4 linked regions of the Oryctolagus cuniculus genome follow. The protein of the gene in region 4 interacts with the protein of the main gene of each other region in a pairwise test. Links are inferred from orthologs where the notes say so. Each region holds a gene or a part of one and is shown on either strand. Other genes may lie near its edges.

The links. The genes of interacting proteins can lie anywhere in the genome.
Region 1: the proteins of TFG (region 4) and ANXA11 interact in binary tests that used the Homo sapiens proteins (3 or more experiments, as listed by UniProt). The two-hybrid records come from large-scale screens. The link is inferred for Oryctolagus cuniculus from reciprocal best matches to the Homo sapiens genes TFG and ANXA11.
Region 2: the proteins of TFG (region 4) and MAGED1 interact in binary tests that used the Homo sapiens proteins (3 or more experiments, as listed by UniProt). The two-hybrid records come from large-scale screens. The link is inferred for Oryctolagus cuniculus from reciprocal best matches to the Homo sapiens genes TFG and MAGED1.
Region 3: the proteins of TFG (region 4) and CSTF2 interact in binary tests that used the Homo sapiens proteins (3 or more experiments, as listed by UniProt). The two-hybrid records come from large-scale screens. The link is inferred for Oryctolagus cuniculus from reciprocal best matches to the Homo sapiens genes TFG and CSTF2.

What each region holds. Positions count from the first base shown.
Region 1 is NC_091446.1:70,267,137-70,273,351, forward strand, and holds the end of ANXA11 (annexin A11), read left to right. Parts: intron 1-676; exon of another isoform or gene 677-931; intron 932-1,968; exon of another isoform or gene 1,969-2,066; coding exon 2,067-2,162; exon of another isoform or gene 2,163-2,381; intron 2,382-2,606; coding exon 2,607-2,665; intron 2,666-2,781; coding exon 2,782-2,904; intron 2,905-4,504; coding exon 4,505-4,564; 3' UTR 4,565-5,231; downstream 5,232-6,215. UniProt on the Homo sapiens protein: Binds specifically to calcyclin in a calcium-dependent manner. Required for midbody formation and completion of the terminal phase of cytokinesis.
Region 2 is NC_091453.1:36,321,708-36,327,922, forward strand, and holds part of MAGED1 (melanoma-associated antigen D1), read left to right. Parts: intron 1-2,538; exon of another isoform or gene 2,539-2,722; intron 2,723-2,918; exon of another isoform or gene 2,919-3,152; intron 3,153-3,719; coding exon 3,720-3,793; intron 3,794-4,474; coding exon 4,475-5,197; intron 5,198-5,854; coding exon 5,855-6,215. UniProt on the Homo sapiens protein: Involved in the apoptotic response after nerve growth factor (NGF) binding in neuronal cells. Inhibits cell cycle progression, and facilitates NGFR-mediated apoptosis. May act as a regulator of the function of DLX family members.
Region 3 is NC_091453.1:91,870,312-91,876,526, forward strand, and holds part of CSTF2 (cleavage stimulation factor subunit 2), read right to left. Parts: intron 4,568-6,215; coding exon 4,508-4,567; intron 3,848-4,507; coding exon 3,706-3,847; intron 3,077-3,705; coding exon 2,901-3,076; intron 2,669-2,900; coding exon 2,379-2,668; intron 1-2,378. UniProt on the Homo sapiens protein: One of the multiple factors required for polyadenylation and 3'-end cleavage of mammalian pre-mRNAs. This subunit is directly involved in the binding to pre-mRNAs.
Region 4 is NC_091435.1:55,272,935-55,279,149, reverse strand, and holds part of TFG (protein TFG), read right to left. Parts: intron 2,026-6,215; 5' UTR 1,983-2,025; coding exon 1,799-1,982; intron 1-1,798. UniProt on the Homo sapiens protein: Plays a role in the normal dynamic function of the endoplasmic reticulum (ER) and its associated microtubules. Required for secretory cargo traffic from the endoplasmic reticulum to the Golgi apparatus.

The sequences.
Region 1 (6,215 bases), on a different chromosome or scaffold from region 4:
GCCGCGTGGGCTGGGGCGATGGGGGTGGGGTAGGAAAGGTCAGGCTCTGGCCCTGCTCGCTGTAGGCGTGCTGTGTGGCGGATACAGAGGAGCAAGGTTGACCCCGGAGTGTCTGGCTAAGCCAGTGGGAGACGGGAGAGGGTTGAGCGTGGACAGAGAGGCTGTGGACAGAGCAGGCCGTAGGAGGGAGAGTGACCCCAGGTAGGCCTCTGGATTTGTGAGTCTGGGGGTCAGGAGGGGACCCGGCTGGGCCTCCGTGTGGCAGGTGTGAGAGGTGGGAGGTATCGGAGGTTTTGGGAGGGACTGAGGAGAGAGCAAGACTTTGAGGACTGGGCCCACCCCAGGTACCACAGGAGACCAAGAAGGAGCAGGGGCAGGTGCAAGGACCCCCAGAAAGGGGAGTGTTGGGAGCTGGCTGCATTGGAAAAGTCGCTGTGAGCCAGAGGGAGCTAGCTGAGAGTGATGAGCACCCCCAGTGCCTGGAGGGGCTCTGGCCAGAGCTGCTCGGTGGGTGACAAGGGTGACAGCCCGAACACCTGCTGTCCTGTGGTGCGGGGGCTGTGGTTGTTTTACAGAGAAACCGGCAGACACCGCGGTGGTTGGAGCAGTCAGGTCACACAGCTGTGTGTGGTCAAGCTCAGATCTGAACCCAGCTGTCTGGCCCAGAGCATGCTTCTTTTTTAAACATTTAAAAAAGCTTTACTTAGTTTTATTTGTTTGGAAGCAGAGTGACAGAAAGAGAGAGAGTGACAGAAAGAGAGAAGTACCAGACTTCCACCTGCTTGTTCACTCCCTGGATTCCTGTACCAGCTGGGCTTGGGCCAGGCTGAAACCAGGAGTCCAGAACTCCATCGGGGTCTTTCATGCGGGTGTCAGGGGCCCAAGCACTCGAGCCATCATCTGCTGCTTTCCCACGTGCGCAAACAGGGAGCTGGAACAGAAGCAGAGCCAGGACTTAAACCCAGATATCCAGTATGGGATGTGGCACCTTAACCACTGTGCCCAATCCTGTCCCTAAGTGGTGTTGTAGAATGTATTTTATTGACAGAAATATATACACACACACAGAGGCAGAGAGCGCGCCCCTGTGTGCTGGTTCACTTTCCAAATGTCTCGGGGCCAGGGAGTGGATCTGGGTCTCCCATGTAGGAAGCCGGACTCGAACCCAGGCACTCCGAGAGGCGCTGTGAGCATCCCAGCCAGTGCCTGCCCCGGGGCACACCTTTTAGCCCCCTCGCTGTGCTGTCAGCATTATTTGAACAAGACTGGGATGAAAGTAGTGCATTAAACCCATGGTGTCGCCCACGTGACTTAGCAGAGAAGCGTTGCTGACTTGAAGGAAATAGGGATGAGATGGCTACAAATGCAGTGGAAGTCACGAGGCTGCTATGCACGTGACCCGCGTCAGGGCTGGGGAAGGAGAGATTGGACCCAGAGTCCGCGCCCGTCAGGAGGCCCACCTGCACAGCAGGGGACTTAGCCGATCTGCCGGGGTGGAGCTGACCCGAAATAGCAGAGATGTGGGTGCACTGCCAGTGCTGGGGATTTGAGAAGGGAGGGGTGCTGCTGGGGTTGGGGTGGGAACAGGGGACCCTGTGAGGGCGATGATGGTGTGATGTGGGTGAGCCAAGTGAACAAGCACGCGGCCACCATGAGAACTGCAGGCGTGCTTGGTGGGGCCGTCCGGGGCTCCCGGAGAGGCCTCTGTGGGCAGCCAGGACCAGATACCATGGACGAGGTGGCTTCAGTGGCACGGCCTCCTCCCTCACAGCTGGGGGAGCCGAGGTGATGCCAAGGCGCCGGCAGGACGGCAGGACCGCTGCCTGCTGGGGCCTCTCTTCCTGGCTGCACACAGCTGCCCCCTGCTGCGTCCCCTCCTGCTCTGCCCCCTGGTTCCTCCGTGTGTCTCCTCCCCTTAGCCTGGCCGCCCTGCAGGCCCTGTCTTAACCGAATCACTGCTCCTGAGACCTTGTCTGCAGATCCGGTTGCGTCTCGGGCACTGGGGGTCGGAGCGTCTGTGCGCGCCGCGGCTGCGTCCCTGACCTGTCCTCCCATCTTCCCGCTAGTTTTCAACGAGTACCAGAGGATGACAGGCCGGGACATCGAGAAGAGTATCTGCCGGGAGATGTCTGGGGACCTGGAGCAGGGCATGCTGGCTGTGGGTAGGCGTCTTGTCTGTCTTCCGGGTGGGGGCCGGAGGCTCCCGCAGGGTCTCGGGACCTTGCTAAGTCCAGCGTCCAAGTGGCGGGGACTGCTCCGTGGGGCGCTGTGGCGCGGGATCCCCGGCTGTCCCGGGTAGGCTGCCTTGTTTGTCTCCAGCGCCGCTCTGGGGAAGGCAGCCGCAGCGTGGGCACCAGCGGGAGCCCATCCAGCCACTCTGTGGAGGAAGATGACTCACGTCCTGCCAAGTTCCCTCTAAAAATAACACCCCTGCAGGCAGTCGGGAGATATTTGTGATGGAAACACGGGGAAGATTTTTCCTTGCAGCCGCAAAGCAGGCTGGGCTCCCGGGACAAGGGTGTCTCCCCGCCACGGTTCCGAGGCCCCTGCATGCAGCCCCTCTGGGTCCCCTGCGGGCCTGGTGACGCTGTGCTCCTCTCTTGCAGTGAAGTGTCTCAAGAACACCCCGGCCTTCTTCGCTGAAAGACTCAACAGGGCCATGAGGGTACGTAAGGCCCGGGGTCACGCACTAAAGATGGAGGGCAAGGGGCAGAGCCAAAGCCACACCTGTGTGGGCCCCAGGGCCGGCGCTGCTCACGCTCTCTGGCCAACTCTCTCCAGGGAGCAGGGACCAAGGACCGGACCCTGATCCGCATCATGGTGTCCCGCAGTGAGATCGACCTCCTGGACATCAGGGCCGAGTACAAGCGGATGTACGGCAAGTCGCTGTACCACGACATCTCGGTATGGGTCCTCTTCCTCCCGGGGCCCTGGCCCTCCCCCTCTCCCCGCCACCCCGCTCCTCCGGGAAGGCCCACACGCTGGGCCTCTGTGCCACACGGCTTGCTCTCAGATGGTCTGAGGGTGGGTGGGATGGGCCCTGACCCTGCTGCCGGCCCCACGTGCATCTGCCAGCATCCAGGACACTGCTGCCCAGAAACTGGCTGGGGGCACCTTCCCAGGGGAGCAGAGACGACTCAGGACCTGACCTTGAGAGACCCCTCTCTGACCTGGGCTGGCCCTCATTCATCACTTGTCCCGCAGTTTTACTGCAGTTCAGAGCAAGGGCCCTGGGGTCGGTGTGACCTCAGGCAGTTTCCCTAAACCTCCTTGAACTCCATCCAGCTCCACTGTCTTTTTTTTTTTTTTCTTTTTTTAAAGATGTATTTATTTATTTATTTGAAAGTCAGAGTTACACAGAGAGAGGAGAGGCAGAGAGAGAGAGAGAGAGAGAGGTCTTCCCCAGATGGCTGCAATAGCCAGAGCTGTGCCAATCCAAAGCCAGGAGCTTCTTCCAGGACTCCCACACGGGTGCAGGGACCCAAGGACTTGGGCCATCTTCTGCTTTCCCAGGCCATAGCAGAGAGCTGGATTAGAAGTGAAGCAGCTGGAACTTCAGGCCAGGGCGTAAACCTGTTACGCCACAGCGCCAGGCTCCACCGTCTTTAAGACGAGGAGAAAAATGGGTCGTCCCTTACGAGGGTCGTGACCACTGGATGAGGCCCCTGTGTGCCAGGGCCAGGCTGGGTGGCCTGACAATGAAGTCCTGGCTCACCAGCACGGGGGCCTGATTTCAGACGCGCCAACGCTTGATGATGTTGACCACGTCAAGGAGAGAAGTGAAGAAGCCACAGGCCTTGTCCTCAAAGAGCTCAGTGTGGAAGGAAATGGTTAGAAGTTCGCTGAGCCTGGCCTGCCGCCCCCTTTCCCCTCCATCACACGCAGTGGGGGCAGGGAGGCCTGAGTGATGTCACCACCCTGCATTGACGGGACAGCCTCGCTGCAGCACAGCATAAACGTACTGGGAAGGGAACAGCGTTGGGTAGCCCTTGGCAGTATCTTTTAGGTTTTTTTGTTTGAAAGGCAGCATTACAGAAGCCAGGTTGTGGGGTGACACACAGAGATCTTCCATCCATTGGTTCAATTCCCAGATGGCTGCAATGGCTGGGCTGGGCAGGGCTGGAGCCAGGAGCCCAGGAGCCTATCTGGGTCTCCCATGTGGGTGCAGGGGCCCGAGCACTTGGGCCATCTTCTGCTGCTTTCCCAGGCCATTAAGAGGGAGCTGAATTGGAAGTGCAGCAGCCGGAACACAAACAGGTGCCCCATTATGGGATGCTGGTGCCTCAGGCCTCTTAGGTTGATTGTTGGATTCTCCTGTGGTTCTTTATTTGGCTTTGATTCCTGGGGGCTGGGGAGGCTGGGCTGTACTGTCTGTGGCCCACAGGACTAGCGGGTGGGACGTGTGCGTGGAAGGGCCTGCCTCTCCATGGGAGAAGAGTCAGGAGCCAGCAGGCCCAGTGGCCGTGCCTCCCTTAGCTGACGTCTTCCTTGTTTCTCTGACCAGGGAGACACTTCAGGGGATTACCGGAAGATTCTGCTGAAGATCTGTGGCGGCAATGACTGAGCGGTATCCCGGGGCTCACGGCTGCCCACCTGCCAGCCACAGCGAGGACAGGAAAAGGCCGCAAGAATGTCTCTTTCTAATGAATCCACCCAGCAGCCCCCAGGCGCGCCGTCCACAGAGCCCGAGCCGGGCACCCTGCTGAAGGGCCCGGCTCGGTCCACACTCTCAGGATGCCTCTCCCTCCCCACGTGGCCCCGCAGCCTCTCGCTGCTGGAGTAGATGTGTTCTTTGCTGACTCATGTAGTCATCTCCCGTGCTTGTGCCTGAGCCCCCGTGGCTTTTAGCGGCGAAAGATTCCGTTTCTGTCTGTCTGTCTGTCGTCACACACTCACACAGGTCTGTTTGCTGGGGGCACGTTTCTGGTGGTGGTGGTGGGGGGTGTCCTTTCCTCACAGAGGCGGAAAAGGGAGGACCAGTGAGGGTGATCTTTGTGTCTGGTGAGAATGTGTCATGAGCTTTGTTATTGCCAAACTCACTCCTTTTTAGAAAAAAAAAAGACCAGAAAGTCTTCTGTTGCATTTTCTATGTAACCACGAGGACAAAGCCAGTTCCCTGCCAGTGACGAGACTTCTTGTACTTTGGAATGTGCCTTAAACCTGAATGTCTCTAGCCAAAAACTCTTTTTCCAAATTAAAGTTAGCCAGTTCTGGGACGTTCTGTAAACGTCTCCCTGGTGCCAGCTTGTTTTCCTTTGCTTCACGGCTTCAGGGCTTCCAGCCTCATTAACCAGTGAGAATTCACATAACTTTAGGGAGCAAAGTTTACAGTAAGTGGCTACAAGGACACGGAAGGGAGGCTCCCCAAATGCATGCTGGGACCCGGGTCAGGTGCAGTGATGTCCCCTGGGGGCAGAAGGTGGTCTTTCACCCAGACCAGGAGAAGGGGCTGGGTGGAGAGGGTGTGTGTGACTCCTAGGGTGGAGTTTGCAGCTGGGGGCCCTAGAGGAGGGTGGAGACGCCCCAGAGGCGAGCGCCCAGTGCCTCCCCCAAGGTCGCCTCCGGTCTGAAGGCCCTGGCTCTGGTCCCCATGGTCGGGAGAGTGCAGCAGGGACAGAGTTTCTAGGGATCCCTGAGTGACAGGCAAATGCACAGCTTTTGCCCTGCACATCAGGGGTCTCTACTCACACACACCCTCTTGGCTCTTCTGCGTTGCAAGGTTTAGAAAGGAGAGAATCTGCCCAGGGTCCCGGGAGTGGCTTGTCTGTAGGGCAGGCATCTGCTGGGGGGGCGCTGTCTGACTCCTCGGGGCCCCTAAGGGCGAGAAGAGGGATGGACCCTGAGGGGCTGGAGCAGCTGGGAGCTGGGCACCAGACCTGTGCGGGCACTCGGGTGGAGGGCAGGTCCTGGTCGCCACGTCCGCCTCTGGGTGTCCGTGCCGAGAGCTTCCTGGGCTAGAACAGTCCTGCCCGAGGCCCCTCCCTGCTGATCTCCCGAGAAGGCCCTCCCCTAGGCAGGCCCTCACCTGGGTGCCTGATGGGACCTACCTGATGGAATGGACTGCTGGCCGTTGTCCAGCGTGCCATGAACCCAGGCTGACCGTGGTGGCCTGAGCGTGACAGGGCCTAGATGCTCTGACGTCACCGATTGTTCCGCCATGTTACTTTGCCATGTTGTCTGCACCAGTTCCCTCAACCCAGCGCCCAGCAGGCTTT
Region 2 (6,215 bases), on a different chromosome or scaffold from region 4:
AAACTTGCATTTGCATAAGCACTTTAGAAAAATCTAGTATGTCCACTACTACATAAAAGTGTGTTCTACCATATTACTCATCAGAAATATAGATTTCAAAAAAGGATATACAAATAAATACACATGATATTGGTAAGAAGTTGGAAAAGTTTTATAATAGGCACTATAGAATATTGTTAGTCTTGCTCCTGGGCATCTAGTATCATAGACATAAAACATATGAAGCATTGAAATATAAAGAATACTTGTATAAGCATCATGATTGCAATGCTATCTGTATGTGCCACTCTTCCCTGAATCCCAGAAACTAAGTGTTCATCCATGTGGAATGGTTGGATACATTTTGGTTCATTCCTATCATGGAATATCATATAATCATTTAAAAGAATGAATCAGAAGTACACTGTGCTTAAGTAAATCAGATATATGAGTTACGTGGTATCTTCATTTTGTACAACAATAAAGGATGGCTTTTTGAGCGTGCAACAACAATAAAAATGAGTAAAACTGCAGGTGCGGCAGTTGAAGATAGAAGTGAAAGAAAAGAGTGAAAAGTAGTAAGCATAAAAATGCTGCTCAAAGTATTTGTGGCATATGTGTAATTCCATTGATGTAAAATCCCATGCATACATATGCACAAAGTGATATATGAAAAGATGGCATCAAAATCTTAGCAATTATCAAGGTGCTGAGGTTTAGAGTGATGTCAATTTCTGAAACATTTAGGTGTTTGAATTTTTAGTTATGAATATGCATTATTTACATAATGAGGGAAACTGAGTGACTGTATCACAGGGGAAAATGCATCTCAGGCTTCTTGCTTGAGCAGTGGGGTGGGTGATGTGGTTCACTCATTCATTAAACAAATAGTTTTGAGCATATAAAGTGTGCTAGGCATCATTCTTGGTGCTGAGGATACAATGAAGCAAAGAAAAATCCATCTCCCCAAGAAGTTTCCATTCTAAAGGGGAAAAAGGGAATAACTAAAGGAGGTGGTGGGGAGGAGAACATATTTGAAGGGATCAGTTAAACTGGAGGATACTAAGAGATACCCAATTGGAGAATGAAAGCAGACAGTTGGATTATGGATCTAGAATTCAAGGGCCAGTCAGGACTGGAGATGGAGCTATGGAAGCAGATAGCAACAACATGGTGTTTCAGACCGCCTTTCCTGAGTCTGATCACGTCCCACTGCAGACACTTTACAGAGGAAGTGCTGAGGAAAAACAGGCAGCTGACAGGGGAGGTTGCTATGCAACAGATGAGGAAAGTCATCCAGCCAAGCAGAACTGATGTTGGCCCTTGGGGACCAAGTGCTGCAGTCCTTCCTGGTATTAGCTTCCTTTCATATGCAGGCTCCTGGCAGGACCTCATATAAGAAGGAATGCGAAATGCACAAAGATCTGCTTTGAGTTTTTGGAAAAGTATCAGTTTAGTTTGAGCCTCCTCACATCTGTATATGATTTTCTGACTTTTTTTTTTTTAGTTTCTCCAATTCTGGAAGCAGTGGAGCATGTGTGCCCTTGGGTAGGACACACATACTATGCTTTCTGTTCTGCATATTGAGAAAACAAGCTCAGAGAGATCGAGTGTCTTGAGTGAGCTCACGCTAGTGACACACAGGCTGGGCACTCTGTTCTTGGGATTTTGAAATCAGTCCAGCCTCTTTCCTCAATACCACAGTTGCTCCAGATCCCAAACCTCAGCCAAGGAAGGAAGTAGGGCAAACATTGACTCTGAACCAGAGTTTGCCATGGTTCAGACACACAAGTGCCTGGTTGTCTTGGCCATTTAAACAGGCACCAAGAAAATCTTGGGGACAACATCATTGTGTCACTCAGAGGAAAGAGTCCTGTGTGACATTGGGAGCTGAGAGTGGGCCCCGAGGAACAATTCCTTGGGCTGGGGGCTTTATCCTGTGCCCTCCTGAATGCAGAACATGAGCTTAGGCCTCCTAGAAAACAAAGTTTGCTTTTTTGGGACAGATGTTAGGGTTAGGGGAGGCCAGGGGCTGAAGTGGAGGAATGAAAAGTGCATAATTTGGGCTTTGGAGTTATGAAAGCCCAGGCCCAAAGTTTGCATTTTCTGTTTTCTGGTGCCTCTCTGGCCTTCTCTAGTTTGAGCAATGTATCTGCACCTCAACTTCTTGGTCTTTGAAATGGGGGTGCTGACACGCACCTTCTAGGGCTGCTCTAAGAAGAAAATAAGCCTCAGCATAGATCTTGCTGTGATGTAAGTGGGTTCTGCAATAAAGTTCATGGGAATGCAAAGTATGGGAAACCTGCATGTATTTCAAAAAATACGTTGGCACCAAAATAAGCTTATCTTTCAATTTTGTTTGTTACGAACTTTTTGGAAGTCGCCTTGTACAAGCTGTGTCCTTCTCTCCCACAATGCACACAACATGATTACATTGACTGGAGCTTCAGAAAAGGGCTGCAGGCAAGGAGCTAATCTGAGTCTGGAAGCCAGTGAGGGGTGCATGTGGTCACGTGGCAGGCACAGACTCCAATAGTGTGTATTTTCTGGCCATTTCCTTCCCTGGGTTGCAAAGCAGATGAGTTCAGCAGGGGCCTAGCACTTGTTGCAATTAGAGATTCTCCACAGACACTTCCTTAATAGTGACCTAAACTGTGCTGGGAAGGGGGTGGAACTGCAGGCCGACCTGATGGGAGGTGCCTTGAATAGAGGAGGGATTGAACAGAGACGCATTGCGGAAAAGGTAGGGGGCCGGTGTACGGGGCAAGGGGTGGGACCAAGAGGCATGGCGCTTCTGTTGGGGGAGGGGATGTGGAGGAAGAGGAGGAACCGTTGTATACTGTCGACCTGGTTGGTGGTGGGATGGTGTGTTGGCAAAGGGGGCGGGGCCGCGTTCCAATGCGCATGTGTGTCCTGCTCTCCCGGACGAAGCTTTTGTTGGGAAAGTGGGCGGGTTTGTAGTTGGTCGCCCAGTCGTGGCGCATGCGCGTAACCTCCTGAGGTAGTGGGTGGTATATTAGGCGAAGAGGCGGGGTCGCCCAAGCTGCCGCGCTGGCATTTTCTCCTAGACAAGGAGAGAGTGCGGCTGCTGAGAGCCAAGCGCAGCAATCCTGATCCTCTCAGTCGTGAAGAAGGGAGGCAACGAGGGGGTTGGGGTTGGGGCCTGAGGCAAGGTGAGAGCTAGCTCCCAGAGAGGGCGTCTGTCCCCCGGTGCGGGTCTCTCCCCCATTTATCCCCATCCCTTAACCCCGTGTTTCTGAATCCCCCCTTCCACTGCCGGAACCCCGATTTACACCCCCCACCCGATCCTTTCTGATTCAGAGCCGCTGTGTGCTCTCTGAACCCTTGACCAATTCCTCTCAGAGGTCCTCACAGAGTCCTTAACGATTTCTTGACTGACCCGTACTGTTCGGAGATTCTTCCTGACTGAAAAATCTCCATTCAACTTCCCGAACGCGAATCCCACCACGCCCCACCCTCGGGTTCAGAACTCTGATCTGTCTCCCGAGCCCTGATTTGAAGCTTTTGCCCTGTTAGTTGCTTCTCGGAATTCAGAATCTCCATCTGGACGCCCGTTCACGTGTCCCGCTCCGCTCTGGTCCGTTCCTCCTCAGACCCAGCACCTCAGCCACTTCACAACCAAACGGCACACCCCTGCCCCCTCCCCTTCCGCTCCGATCTGGCTCTTCGTATTTTGCCCTGTGTAGTATAACGCCCAGCTCCTTTCCCTCAACCCCCAGGCTCTGCTCTTGCCAGAGGGACAGGAGCCATGGCTCAGAAAATGGACTGTGGTGCAGGCCTCCTCGGCTTCCAGGTGAGATCTCCGCTCCTCACCCCAGCATTTCCCCTCCGACACTCCCCTCCCCCCCAGCCCCTTTCATCAGCCCAACACCTGGATCTGATTTGGCCCTCTTCCGTGCCTAGACTTTGCCATTTTTCAAATTTGCGGCATTTATCTAAGGGGAAAGAAGCATCCCTTTTCAGCCATCAGTCCCTGCTTAGAGAAAGGGGAGACCCTGTTAGTAGTCGGGGCAATCTGCCCAGAGAATGCGGGCTGGGTAAAGGAACCATTTTCTTTTCCATAGGCCTGGAGTGCAGAGCAGTCTGTCACCCCCTCCCCCAGCCTCCCACCTCCACCCTCCCTCTGTCCCGCATTCCTGACTTGCTGCGACCCCCCCCCCTTACTCTCCTCAACTCCTTGCTCCGCCTCCTAAACTGAGCTCCTGCTGCACTCCCTACCAGCTCCGCTCCAACCCCACTGATTCAGACCTTGCTTGCTTTTGTGCCCACTCCTCACATTGCTCTAATTGTCATTTTGCCCCTGCCCTGCACCAGTCCACCACATGTTTTGTACTCACGCTGCCTCCCTTTGCCCACTGCCTGCTCCCTGGGTTCCTGCCATAGCCCTGTTTTTGCAACAACCATCCTCCTGCACCTTCCCAGCTGTTCCCAACCTGAGCCCCAGAGATTAAATTTGTTTTTCCTGTGTTTGCAGACGGAGGCCTCTGTAGAAGACAGCACTTTGCTTATGCAGACCTTGATGGAGGCGATCCAGATCTCAGAGGCTCCACCTACCAACCAGGCCACAGCAGCTGCCAGCGGGCCAAATGCTAGTCCCCAGAGTTCACAGCCCCCTACTGCCAATGAGATCGCTGATATTCAGGTCTCAGCAGCTGCTGCTAGGCCTAAGACAGCCTTTAAAGTGCAGAGTGCCACCCCAAAGGGCCCAAGTGGTGTCTATGATTTCTCTCAGACACATAATGCCAAGGAGATGCCCAGTGCTCAGCCTAAGGCAGCCTTTAAGTCCCAGAATGGCACCCCAAAGGGCCCAAATGCTGCTTATGACTTTTCCCAGGCAGCGGCCACTGGGGAGTTAGCTGCTAACAAGTCTGAGATGGCCTTTAAGGCCCAGAATGCCACTACTAAGGTAGGCCCAAATGCTACTTACAATTTCTCTCAGTCTTTCAATGTCAATGAGATGGCCAATAACCGACCTAAGACAGCCTTCAAGGCTTGGAATGATACTACTAAGGTCCCAACAGCTGACAGCCAGACCCAGAATGTAAACCAGGCCAAAATGGCCAATTCCCAGGCAGACATAGAGACCAACCCAGGTATCACTGAATCTGATGGTGCAGCTGCACAGACATCAGCAGATGGACCCCAGGCTCAGAATCTGGAGTCCCGGACTATAATACGGGGCAAGAGGACCCGCAAGGTGAGATCCCCACTAGCGTCACTTTGCTTTGGGCTCTCTCCTTTCTTCTCTGAAATTGTTCACTTGTTCTAAAATATATATATATATATTTATCAATAGATATAGATCTGCCTTGTTTAGCTAAGCTGTAGATAATGTTGAAGTGAATTTTTTTTCTGTCCTCTGAGTGTCCATAGACTGATGGGGAGTTAACATATGGAAGCAAATATCAAACTTGTATGTAATTCAGTTTACATTTGGATAGTAACCACCATGTATCAAATCTTGAGCTAGTTCACACAAGTTATCTTATTAAATTTTGAAGTCAGCTCTTACCAGTTGGGGACCATAGTCTTAGTTTTACAAAGAAGGAAACTCAGTCCCAGAGAAGTGAAGTGACTTGAGTGATTTGTTCAGGGTGGTACAAGCAGAGCGAGTGGTGGACATAGGAAGAGAAGAAGCCTCAGGCCCCACCCCTGGGTTGCTCCTGGCCTGGTTCGGAGATGCAACTCCTGCTTGGAAGACAGTGAAAGACAAGCCCAGGACTCAGGGTGACCAGTGGCTAGTGGGTCAGGCTGTCGTTACAGGTGAGGGTTTAGGGGGATTTCCTGAAATAGATAGGGTGAGGACACAGAATCAATTTGTGACCCTGGACTTTCCTTCTCTCTGATAATGCAGATTAATAACTTGAATGTGGAAGAAAACAGCAGTGGCGATCAGAGACGGGCCCCGCTGTCTGCAGGGACCTGGAGGTCTGCACCGGTTCCAGTAACCACTCAGAACCCACCTGGCGCACCACCCAATGTGCTCTGGCAGACCCCACTGGCTTGGCAGAACCCATCAGGCTGGCAAAACCAGACAACCAGGCAGACCGCACCAGCACGTCAGAGCCCCCCAGCTAGGCAGACCCCACCAGCCTGGCAGAGTCCAGTTGCTTGGCAGAACCCGGTGATCTGGCCAAACCCAGTGATCTGGCAGAATCCTGTGATCTGGCCGAACCCCATTGTCTGGCCTGGCCCAGTTGTCTGGCCAAACCCAC
Region 3 (6,215 bases), on a different chromosome or scaffold from region 4:
GTGTCTTTCTTCACAGAATTGTCAGCAGAATTCCACTAGAATGCAATCCCCATTGGAACAGAGACTGTACTGTTCACACTGCTGTACCTCCAGTATCTAGATCTGTGTTTGGTATATAGTATATGCTAAATAAGTATTTGCTGAATACAAAAAATTCTATTATGAAGTTACTGACCACAGAGGAACAATAAAAATCAAGGCCCATGAACACATTTTTGAAATAATAATACTTAAAAAGTAAAGAATAATTTTATTCTATATATACCAGAAAAAAAGTATTTTTATTTCAAGAAGTAGGTGGACACATACTGACCCCCCCCTCCCCCACAAATGTGCAAGTAACAGGACAGAGTAGCAGTGAAAAAATAGTGGGTTCTATTTCTTGCCCTGTACTTTTTAGGTATGTGAATTTGACCAAGTCACCTGATTCTTGGGTCTAAGTTTCCAAGCCTAAAAAATGAGGGGACTGGATGACTGACATGTTCCATTCCTGCTTTGACATTCTCTCCTCTTGCTCACACACACACAGGAAGGAAGACATAAAAAAGATATGAGGGGCCAGGTAAAGCTGCTGCCTGTGGTGCCGGCATCCCATATGGGAGCCGGTTCAAGTCCCGGCTGCTCCACTTCCAATCCAGCTCTCTGTTGTAGCCTGGGAAAGCAGTAGAAGATGGCCCAAGTGCTTGGGCCCCTGCACCTGCCTGGGAGACCTGGAGGAAACTCCTGGCTCTTGGCTTCAGATCAGCCCTTCTCCGGCTGTTGCAGCCAATTGGGGAGTGAACCAGTGGATGGAAGACCTCTCTCTCCTCTCTCTGTATAACTCTGACTTTCAAATAAATAAATCTTTTAAAAAACCACATGAAAGAAGAGACAATTACACAGAGGAAGGAGAAAAAGGAAACAGAAGAGGCTGAAGGGAAAAGAATGTGCCAGCACATAAAAACTCAGGGAAGATACACACATACTACCTTCCCACAGCCAACAGGGGATAAAGATAGGAAAGATGGCAACCAGAGACTACCATAGACACATAGCTTGGGAGAGCCAAAAAGAGAGAGAAGAGGTAAGACTTCACTTCCGCAGCTTTTTGGGTAATCATTAGGAAACTGTCTTTCGCACTCTACTGTTCACTAAGGCTATGTAAGACAATAAATTAATAACACATTTCTGTAATCCTACAATTATCTAAATGACCACAAACAGCTCTTTAGACACTCTAACCTAGGGGTTCTTAGGGCTGCACATTAGAATCATTTGGGGGGCCGGCGCCGCAGCTCAATAGGCTAATCCTCCGCCTGTGGTGCCAGCACACCAGGTTCTAGTCCCAGTCGGGGCGCCGGATTCTGTCCTGGTTGCCCCTCTTCCAGGCCAGCTCTCTGCTGTGGTCTGGGAGTGCAGTGGAGGATGGCCCAAGTGCTTGGGCCCTGCACCCCATGGGAGACCAGGAGAAGCACCTGGCTCCTGCCTTTGGATCAGCGCGGTGTGCCAGCTGCAGCGCGCCGGCCGCGGCGGCCACTGGAGGGTGAACCAACGGCAAAGGAAGACCTTTCTCTCTGTCTCTCTCTCTCACTGTCCACTCTGCCTGTCAATAAATAAATAAATAAATAAAAGAATCATTTGGGGGAGGTTTCTGAAACCATCCACGCACCAGATCCTACTGATAGATTCTGATGGGCCTGCAGTGAGATTCAGGCAAGTCTATTTTGAAGAAGCCTTGTATACGACATTGGTTTGCACCCCAGTGAAGAATATCCCATAACCACTAAATTTCCAAGGGCTCTGCTCTGAATGCAAATAGCTACTGATATTGTAAGACAAAGTTGTTCTTTGGGTTTTCAATCCTAGTGGCCAGAAAAATTACTATCGTAAGGGACACAGAAAATAAAGGGAGATTCCACCATTCTCTTTTTCTTTCTTTTTTTTTGACAGGAAGAGTGGACAGTGAGAGAGAGAGACAAAGAGAAAGGTCTTCCTTTACCGTTGGTTCACCCTCCAATGGCTGCTGTGGCCGGCGCGCTGTGGCTGGCACACCACGCTGATCCGAAGGCAGGAGCCAGGTGCTTCTCCTGGTCTCCCATGTGGGTGCAGGGCCCAAGCACTTGGGTTATCCTCCACTGCACTCCCAGGCCACAGCAAAGAGCTGGCCTGGAAGAGGGGCAACCGGGACAGAATCTGGCGCCCCGACCGGGACTAGAATCCGGTGTGCCGGTGCCGCAGGCAGAGGATTAGCCTATTGAGCCGCGGCGCCGGCCCACCATTCCCTTTCTAGCAAGCTTAGAAACAGTTCAAGTCACAAGGCAGTAATAATCAGGCTCAATAACCAATTGTGGTATAGATCAAGATTTCACATAGCTGTTAGAAGTGAGCATTACACATACCTGTCTGGCTCCCTGGGGACCAACCGCCATATTCATTGGAGCGGGACCTGGCATTCCACTAGGCAGAGGTCCTCTAGGTCCGGGCACTGGGCCCCTGGTGTCCATGCCTCTAGCCTCCATTCCTCGGACTTCCATAGCACGGACCTCCATGGCACGGGCCTCCATGGCACGGGCCTCCATGGCACGGGCTTCCATTGCTCTGGCCTCCATACTTCGTGCATCTAATCCTCTTGCCTCCATGGCTCGGGCCTCCATACTTCGTGCATCTATGCCTCGTGGATCTCGTCCACCTGTAAAGAAATTTGTCAGTAACAGAACTCTATTCCTCTAGTAAAATTCCCCCAACTATGATATTGTTGTCTTTTCCCCAGTTTCTCAGATTTGCAGATAAACCTTAAAGATGCTTGATGACCCCAGTGCTCCCTCTGCCAGCATTCTTTATCCCAGGTTAGAGTCAAAGACAGCTGGGTTCATTATCAACCCAAGAGTACCAGTTAGCTTCGTGATGTGGTCTCTCCTTACCTCTGCCATCCAAAGGTGGACCCCTCTGATCTAGCATGGGTCCTCTTGGCTCTGCCATTAGAGGTCTAGGTTCAGCTAGTGGCCCTCCTCTCATCTCATGTGGGGGTGGGCCACGGCTTTCATGACCAGGGACGTGGTGCATGGGTGGACCCTGATGAGGTGGTCCCAGGTAACCTCTAGAGATTGAAAGAAATATTACATAAAAGCTGTAGAGACATAAATCCACTTATTCCAGAATTTGATAATTAGTGGTACTCATAACTAGAGAAGAATTAATGGACAGTCATTACATGAAGAAGAACATGGGTTTTGAATTCAGACTATATGGGTTCAAATCTAGGTTCCATCACTTGTTAGCTGTGTGATCTTGGGCACATTTGCTTAACTTCTCTATGCCACCCTCAGCTTATCTGTAAAACAGAACTAATACTATCCATCTTATAGGGTCATTCTGTGGATTTAATGAGATGATCTAATAAAACTTCTCAGAGCAGAGTCAGAAATATGATCCCTATTAATGTCAGTTAGTACTATTATTGATACTATTATTACCACAAGTTTTCCCTGTTTAGGTATGTATACTAGAATTGCCAACTTCTGAAAATATATTTAATAGGCATGATTAGCTTGAGAGGACACACAACTACATGTTCTGCCTTAAGAGAAATGCTTGGACAGGGACCATGGACTTTTCCTTTATCTTTTGAAGTAGGCAAATAGGTACAACTTGTACAGAAAGACTTTGTTCTCAAGACAAAGGAAAATCCTGAATTCTCCAACCGTTTCCTTCTATGTTAGTACTTACCTAGGCTCTACGTCTCCAGTTACAGAAAGTAAAGTGCCTCCCCGTGGGTCATTTGGAGCATCTCCTAAGAGACCTCGAGGAGTTGGGACGTTGGCAGGCAAAGAGCCCCGCTGTAGAGCTGCTCTGGGGTCTTGCATCGGCACTGACAGGGAAACAAATGGGGAGTTACTGCTGTGAAGGACACATAAGGAAACAAGAAACGACTCTGATACCACTGACAATGTAATTCAGACACCTTAGAGTGGGTGACACCTCACCACAGCAGAATCCTCTTGCAGCTCAAGAACAGAAGCAGGGTGTAGGCAGAATCTGTGCCACGTCAGAGGTATGGATGGAATTGTATACACAGCAAACTGGGGAGCAACCTGCCAAGGACTAGCACTGTGACCTGAAGAACCTTATGCTCCTTGGTTTCCTTCTAATCAATCTTAAGTTCAAGGACCAGAGTCACAAAAGAGAGGTAGGGTCTTGGCCTATGTTAATACTGCCATGGCTCTGCAAGAACCTGCTGTCTCCTTACAGACTGCTATTCCATCCAAGCCTCCTGACACCAGTAGGGAGGGAGTACAGCCTCGGACAGATGCCCATATCATCCATGTTCTCTGCCCTGTGTGAAGAGGTCAATCTTAGGCTTGTGGCCTCAACAGGAAAAAAAAATTAAGAAAAAAAAAAACACCAAAAACCCAAAAATACTACCCTTTTGGGTTCTGAACATGAGGATGACTGCCAAGCAGCTCTTTTCCTCTCATCACCCCACCCTGAACACCACAAGCAAAAGGAAACCCACAGATACAATGGGTACCTTGAACTCGTTCAATTGAGGCAGGCCCGGCGGGTCCCACAGGCGAGTGCTGTAGGGTTCCTAGGTGAGCAGTAAGTTTAAAAGGAGAAAGAGTAGACACTTAAAATAGCTTGCACACAGACACACAGACACACACACACACACACGGAAACTGCAGATTTACACAGGTATGTTAACAAGCCAAGGGGTGATTAGCTTGCCCACACAGCTATAAAATCTTCCCAAACTACACTAGCTTCTTTGGGTATCTGAAAGAGTTTCGCGTTCACCAGACAGCTTCTAAAGGGAAACCTGCGGGACACTGGGGTTATCTGGCAGGAATAACCAGCCAATCTCCATTTTCACCCCTATTTGTATGTCTTCCCTTAAATGTTCTGGTGATACTACTAAAACATACACATACACACAAATACAGAAAAAATGTAAGGAGGATGATTTTGAATCTCTAGTTAAGGAAAGAACATATTTTCAGAAGTAAAGCATGAAAGAAATTACACTGAATCTGGAAGGTGAGATTTATTCTGGAGAGGCCATAACAGAAGTAGGATAAGGCTATTTTGTTACACTTTAAAACATAAAAATTTGTTATCAAAAAGTATCGAAAGGGGAAATGCAGTAATGACCTTCAGATATCAACAATCCACAAGAAATACTCTGCCACAGCCAATCTTTGATAATACACATCGCGACCACAGCAAACAAAGGCTAACGCAGTAAGGGCACCCCCAATATACAAAGGTGGTAAGAAAGCAAGAAGTATCTTCTCCAGCACCTCATTGTCTCTTTACACTATTACAAAAGTGCAAAAGAAACATAGATTCCAGAAAAAGGAAGTGAAAAGATGTGTTACTCTTCTGCTGGGTACTGAAGAAAATTATAAAAGAAAGTTCATCACACTTTGTCTCTTCATGAAGGCATCTTTCAAATACCTTCACAACAGGAGTCATTTCCTTTTGCTAATTTTTGACCAGAAAGGTGAACTAACTACAGCAAGAAGGAATATGTTTTGTAGAAGTATGTGCTAAACATCTAAAGCTTCATTGATTAACTGCTAGCCTAGGGAAACATGGAAGTATGCCTGGAGTCCCAATTTCTTCTTACTACAACAAAAACACTTTGGAATACATACACAGTTGATTGCCAGCGGGGATGGCCAACAACAACAAAAAAGCATAGGATGCTTAGAGAAAAGATAAAGTATTTGGGCCAGGAGTATATCCTGCTGTCAGACATCTAACAACAAATTACAGGCCTACATCTTAATATTTTGCTTTTTAAATGAGTTTCACTCATAGGACATAGGTTAAGATGAAACAACTTAAGCTTCTTTAAGCTTGTCCAAAGCAATCTTTTCTCAACACAGAGACCCAATGCATAGGAGAAAAAGACACTGAAGAATATTTTTAGAAGTTAGTAAGATGGGCCCGGTGCTGTGGCACAGCAGTTAAAGCCGCCGTTTGCAGAACCAGCATCTTACATGGGCGCCGGTTCAAGTCCTGGCTGTTCCACTTTTGATCCAGTTCCCTGCTAATGTGCCTGGGAGAGCAGCAGAAGATGGCCCATGTGCTTGGGCCCCTACACCCACGTGGGAGATCCAGATGAAACTCCTGGCTCCTGGCTTTGGCCTGTCCCAGCCCCAGCCATTGTGGCCATTTGGGAAGTGAACCAGCATATGGAAGATCTCTCTCTGTAACTCTGATTTTCAAAT
Region 4 (6,215 bases):
GACTTTCAAATAAATAAATCTAAATATATATAGATATAGATATAGATATAGATATAGATATAGATATGAAATAGTGCTGTAATTCTACTGTGTGACTGATGAAACATTTGTCATACAAAATCTATCTTCATAAAAACTTTGAAGGTCAAATGATCCTGGGAACATTTCACACTATAAAATTATAATATACATCAGCACATTATATACTCTGAAAAATTCCTGCAACAAACACATTTGTCTTTGGATAAACTAGCTTTTCTCTAATTAGTTGACTATGAAATCTTTTTTCATTCAATATATACTGCTATCCCTTTCACTCTGGGAAATACACATGGAAATGTGATATATATACACGAGGGACTACTACTCAGCCAAGAAAAGGATAAAATCTTGCCTTTCACAATAAAATGGATGTAACTGGAGACCATTATACTCAGTGAAATAACCTAGTCCCAAAGACAAATATCATTTATTTTCTCTGATTTGTGTTAACTTATAGAGGACAAAAAGAATGTAATGTATATAAGTGAAAATGACATTTTGAGATTTGGTGATTGTTTGTAGCTCCTGTCTATATTCCTAAGAAACAGTGTTTTTCTCCTTACTACTTGTTGAATTATTTATTTAGTGGAGGATTAAGCTTGTTATTATAAAGTAAATTGAAGGCCGGCTTCACGGCTCACTAGGCTAATCCTCCGCCTTGCGGCGCCGGCACACCGGGTTCTAGTCCCGGTCGGGGCACTGGATTCTGTCCCGGTTGCCTCTCTTCCAGGCCAGCTCTCTGCTGTGGCCAGGGAGTGCAGTGGAGGATGGCCCAAGTCCTTGGGCCCTGCACCCCATGGGAGACCAGGATAAGTACCTGGCTCCTGCCATCGGATCAGCACAGTACGCCGGCCACAGCGCGTAGGCTGCGGCGGCCATTGGAGGGTGAACCAACGGCAAAGGAAGACCTTTCTCTCTGTCTCTCTCTCTCTCACTGTCCACTCTTCCTGTCAAAAATAAATAAATAAATAAAGTAAATTGAAAGCATGTCACTGCAAAAATTAAAAGGAAAAAACAAAGAAGGAGAGAGTCATAGCAAGGGAGGAAAAGAGGGTAGGATGGGAGGTATCATTATGCTCTTAAAACTGCATATATAAGCCGGCGCCGTGGCTCAATAGGCTAATCCTCCACCTTGCGGCGCCGGCACACCGGGTTCTAGTCCCGGTTGGGGCGCCGGATTCTGTCCCGGTTGCCCCTCTTCCAGGCCAGCTCTCTGCTATGGCCAGGGAGTGCAGTGGAGGATGGCCCAGGTGCTTGGGCCCTGCACCCCATGGGAGACCAGGAAAAGCACCTGGCTCCTGGCTCCTGCCAGGATCAGCGCGGTGCGCCGGCTGCAGCGGCGGCCATTGGAGGGTGAACCAGCGGCAAAAGGAAGACCTTTCTCTCTCTGTCTCTCTCTCTCACTGTCCACTCTGCCTGTCAAAAAAAAAAAAAAAAAAAAAAAAACTGCATATATAAAATAGATAAATCTATCCCCTTTATATAAATATTTTACTTAAGAAAAAAAAAGCAAAATGGAAGCCAGAAGAGTATGGGTAAACAAAGGGAAAAATACTTGTAAAAAAGTATATTAACTTATAAATAATTATACTAATGATCTGAACATCCCATTAAATAAATAAAAGAAGGGGGCCACTCAAATACCATGAAGGGGGAAGACAGAGTCCAATGACTATAGGCAAAAAAAAAAAAAAAAAAAAAAAAAAAACACATACTATGTGTTAACTCTTACAAACCAGGTTTAAAAATACTTTACCTTCATCTTTATACTTTATTGTAACTTCATCATTACTCAGAAGTTTTCCTCGGAAAACTCGTTGCATCATTAGCACTAATTCATCATAAGTAATATCTTCATTATGAATGGGAATTCGTCGAATATCCTCCCCAAGTTGAGCTTTGATGATTAGCTTTCCGCTTAGGTCCAACTGTCCATTCATGGTGGATTCCAGGATGTTCTATTTATATTAGTCTAGAGAAAAACTGATAAAAAGACTCTTATTTAATAAAACAATAAAACATCTTAAAATCTGAAAGCACATTTATTGTTGGAATCTAAGAAATGCTGGCTCTTTAAAGAGACTCATTGCTCATGACCATCTTCATGTTAAAATGGTCTAGAGGCAACTTTATTATGTATTTTATATCTACTACTATCTTATCTACATGTTTAACTGCTAACTTCACATTACCATGCAGATTTCTAACATGTCTACAAACAAGTTCCTGATCTTCTACTAAAACTGCATCTCCCAAAGTCTTCCCTAATTCATTTGGTGACAAGTCCTTTCTTCCAGTTGTTCAAGACCAAAAAGAAACACACACACACACACACACACACACACACACGGTTCCTCTCTTTTTCTCACATCCTTGACCTTCAAACTTAGCTTTAAGCTATCTCCAGAACCCAACCACCTCAATCACTATCAAGCTGATCCAAGTCACTATCACCACCTACCTAAATGATTACAAAAGACTTCTAACTGGTCTGCCTGCTTTTTATCTTTGCCTACTTTCACAACCTATTCTTAGCACATCAGATTTATCATGTTATTTATCCTGTTAAAATCTAATGTTGCTCAGCTCAAAACCTTCCAATATATTCCTCACTTCCTACCTGGCCCTACTACTCATCCCCACCACATTCATACTTCAAGCTCTTTTCTCAACTTGAAGCTATACACTTCCTACTCCGCATGCCTTGATCCTTTTCATACAACTCAAATGAATCATGTTCCTGATCAAATGTCAATTTCTCAGAAGTCTTCCCTAACCATCTAATTTAAAACAGGGCACGCACGACATGTGTTAAATTGCTGCTTAGGATACCTGTGTCCCATATTGGAGTACCTGGCTCAAGCCCTGCTACTCTGCTTCTAATCAAGCTTCCCACTAATGAGCCTCAGAGGCAGATGATGGTTCAAGTACTTGAGTCCCTGCCACCCACAAGAAGAGACAAGGACTAAGTTTCCAGCTCCTTGCTTTGGCCTGGACCAGCACCAGCGATACAGACATTTGGTGACTAAACGAGCAAATGGAAGATCATTCTCTCTCTTTATAAAAAAAATTTTAAATTTAAAATAAAAAAAACATTTAAAAATAAAATGAATCCCCCAGGGCAGGCATTTGGTCTAGCAATTGAATGTCAACCTTCCCATATCAGAGTGCCTGGGTTCAAGTCCAAGTTCCATTCCTGATTCCAGTTTCCTGCTAATGTGCACTCTGGGCAGTAGCAAGTGATGGCTCAAGTGGCTGTGTCCCTGTAACCCACATGGGAGACCTGGATTGGGTTTCCAGCTCTTCAGTCTGGTCCATCCCCAGAAGATGCAGACATCTGGAAAGTGAACTAGCAGACAGGAGTTATCCATCTGTCTTCAAATATTTTTTAAAGGCTCCTCTTACCATCTTGGTTTCGTTTTGTTCCAAGCACTTAGCAGTACTATCAGAAATTAAAAATTTATTAATTTTCACTGTTCTTTCTACTCAAAGGTAGGAAGCAAACAGTGCCCAACACATGATAATCATCCCACAATTCTTAAAGAGAGAAACAATTAGCTTCAAACTTCTATTAACTTAAATATCTAAATGTTAACCCACAAAAAAGTGAACACTACAACAGAGCCTCAAATTTTCCAATATAAGAAAGATCTCTTAAGTATTTTGAGAAAGAACAAATCAGTGATACCTGCTAAGCTTTCTTTTTATTTATTTTTATTCTTTTGAAAGGCAGAGAGAAAAACAAGATAGTTAACTCCCATCTGCTGGTTCACTCCACCAAATGCCCACAGTAGATGGGGCTGGGCCAGGCTGAAGCCAGGAGCTAGAACACAACCCAGGTCCCCACATTAGGTGGCAAGGATCCAAGAACTTGAGGCCATTACCTGCTGCCTTACAGGATATACAATATCTGGAAGCCGGATCAGACGCAGAGGTGGGATGCAAGCCCAGGAACTCTGATATAGGATGCGAGTCTCCTAAGTGGCATCTTAACTGCTGTGCCAAACACACACCCTTCCCTTTCTAATGAGACTGCCAGCTACGGTGCTACACAGTCCATAACCCTACCTTATAGAGTGAGTGTTTATGATCAGACTGCATACTTTAAAGACAAAAGACAGTATCAGAGAATTAGCCACTAAATAATAATTTGCCACAGAGATTTTCCCTTTTGGGCTTTAATCTTATTTTGGGGTTATCCAGTGTAATCATCTGAAATTATTTTATAATCTTATATTCAAGTTCTCTTGTAATTTAAATGATTACTAAAGGCTAATATCTCTTCTCAAGGCCAAGATGTTCCTGATGTGTTATCTATAATCACTGAGCATTTCCTTAACACAACTCCTCCCCCACCCCCAAAGTAAATGATCTCTCAAGGCTGTTTAAGGTGACAACCGCCTCTAAAGGGCTCCATTCTACTCCCAATGTCATGCTTTACTACTGGCACCATTTTGTTTCCTCCTCTTAAATGTATCATTTCATTAACACCAACAAACCTCTTTGCAACCATTCCCATGTCCTTGGTGTGTTTATGTATGAAAGCTGCTTTCCAACCAATCAACTCTTCCAATAGTTGAAAAAAGTTTCCATGAATCCTAAATTATCTCATGAATATTCAATATAAATGTTTTAGTATTTAAACGTCCCATGTCTTTTGATCTAACTATTCCTTAAATTAGGGGTGGGGAACAGCTGGCCCACAGGCAGCATAAGGGCAACGAAATCATTTGGTCTGGCCCTGCCAAGAAGGCAGCTGCAGGTGGGACTCGAAACTTAGTAAATCTGTAACAGGTTAATTTTTAGGTGAATAATTCTGTATGGCCTGCAAATGATGTTATAAATATCCAAATGGCCCTTGGCAGAAAAAAGGTTCCCCAACCCTGCCTTACATGAACGTCTCTAGACTCCCCCACCGCCCTCTAGACAGATTACATCTTATTAATAAATCTTTAATGAAGCAGGACATTAAAAATATCACTCTAAAGTCAATTCAGAATACAATAGACTCTGCTCCACTATCTGGATAGATGCCACATTTATCTTAATGCAAAAGAGAAAGTCAGCCTTTTTATCGGCCAATTCTCACAGTGGATTACTCATGATGATTGTAATTAAACTAAAACCTCTATGAACTACCTCTTAACCTATGAGTCAAACCTGACCGCCACATTCAGGAGAAAACGTGCTGAATATCTACTATGAGCTGAGCTCTATAGTTACTTCAACAAGACGGCAAATATCCCATCTTGTCTGCATTGGCAGCCTGAGACCATGATAAAGTCCTTTCAATAAATAAATGTATTTGTTGCCTTCTCTTACCTACAGAACGTATAAACCAGCAACAATGCCTAAAAGGACCAGTGTAAGATGGTATTACCTATTCCCAGCAGCACCTAGAACACAGCCTGACATACGAAAGGAATTTAAAGAACTGTTTTTGTTCCCTGCACAAAAAAATGAGGCATAACAAAGTTCTGATAAAGGGATTGGTAGGCTGTAATAGCAGGTCAGTTCTCAAGTCAGACTTTCACTTCAGTACCTCGTCTTTGCAGAAGACTCCCCCCTTTCAAATAAGTAAAAATCAAATCTTAAAAATTGACTCTGCACATCAGCTACACTACTTTTTTTTAATTTATTTATTTAAAAGTCAGAGTTACACAAAAGGAGAGGCAGAAAGAAAGAGAGAGAGAGAGAGGAGAGAGAAAAATCAATCTTTCATCTGCTGATTCACTCCCCAATTGGCCACAATAGCCAGAGCTGTGCCAGGCAATAGCAGAGCTGGATCAGAAGTGGAGTGGCCAGGACACAAACTGGCACCGATAAGGGATGCCGGCACTGCAGGTGGCAGCTTTACCCACTATGCCACAGCTCTGGTCCCTACACTACTTATTAAGAGTAAATTCCAACACAAAACATAATTGACAGTATGCCCTTTCGATGGGGGAGGGTGTTGCTCAGTTCCAATAGATCTACAAACTTTTAAGTTGTGTATAGTTTCCAACCACCATGTTTGCCTGTAAATTCACTTTCAATGCTTCCCATTGATTGTAAACACCCTGCAGCCAAGAACTAAGCTTCCGGGGCCAGTGCTGTGGCATAGCGGGTAAAGCCACCGCCTGCAGTGCTGGCATCTCATATGGGCGCCGGTCCAAGTCCTGGCTACTCCACTT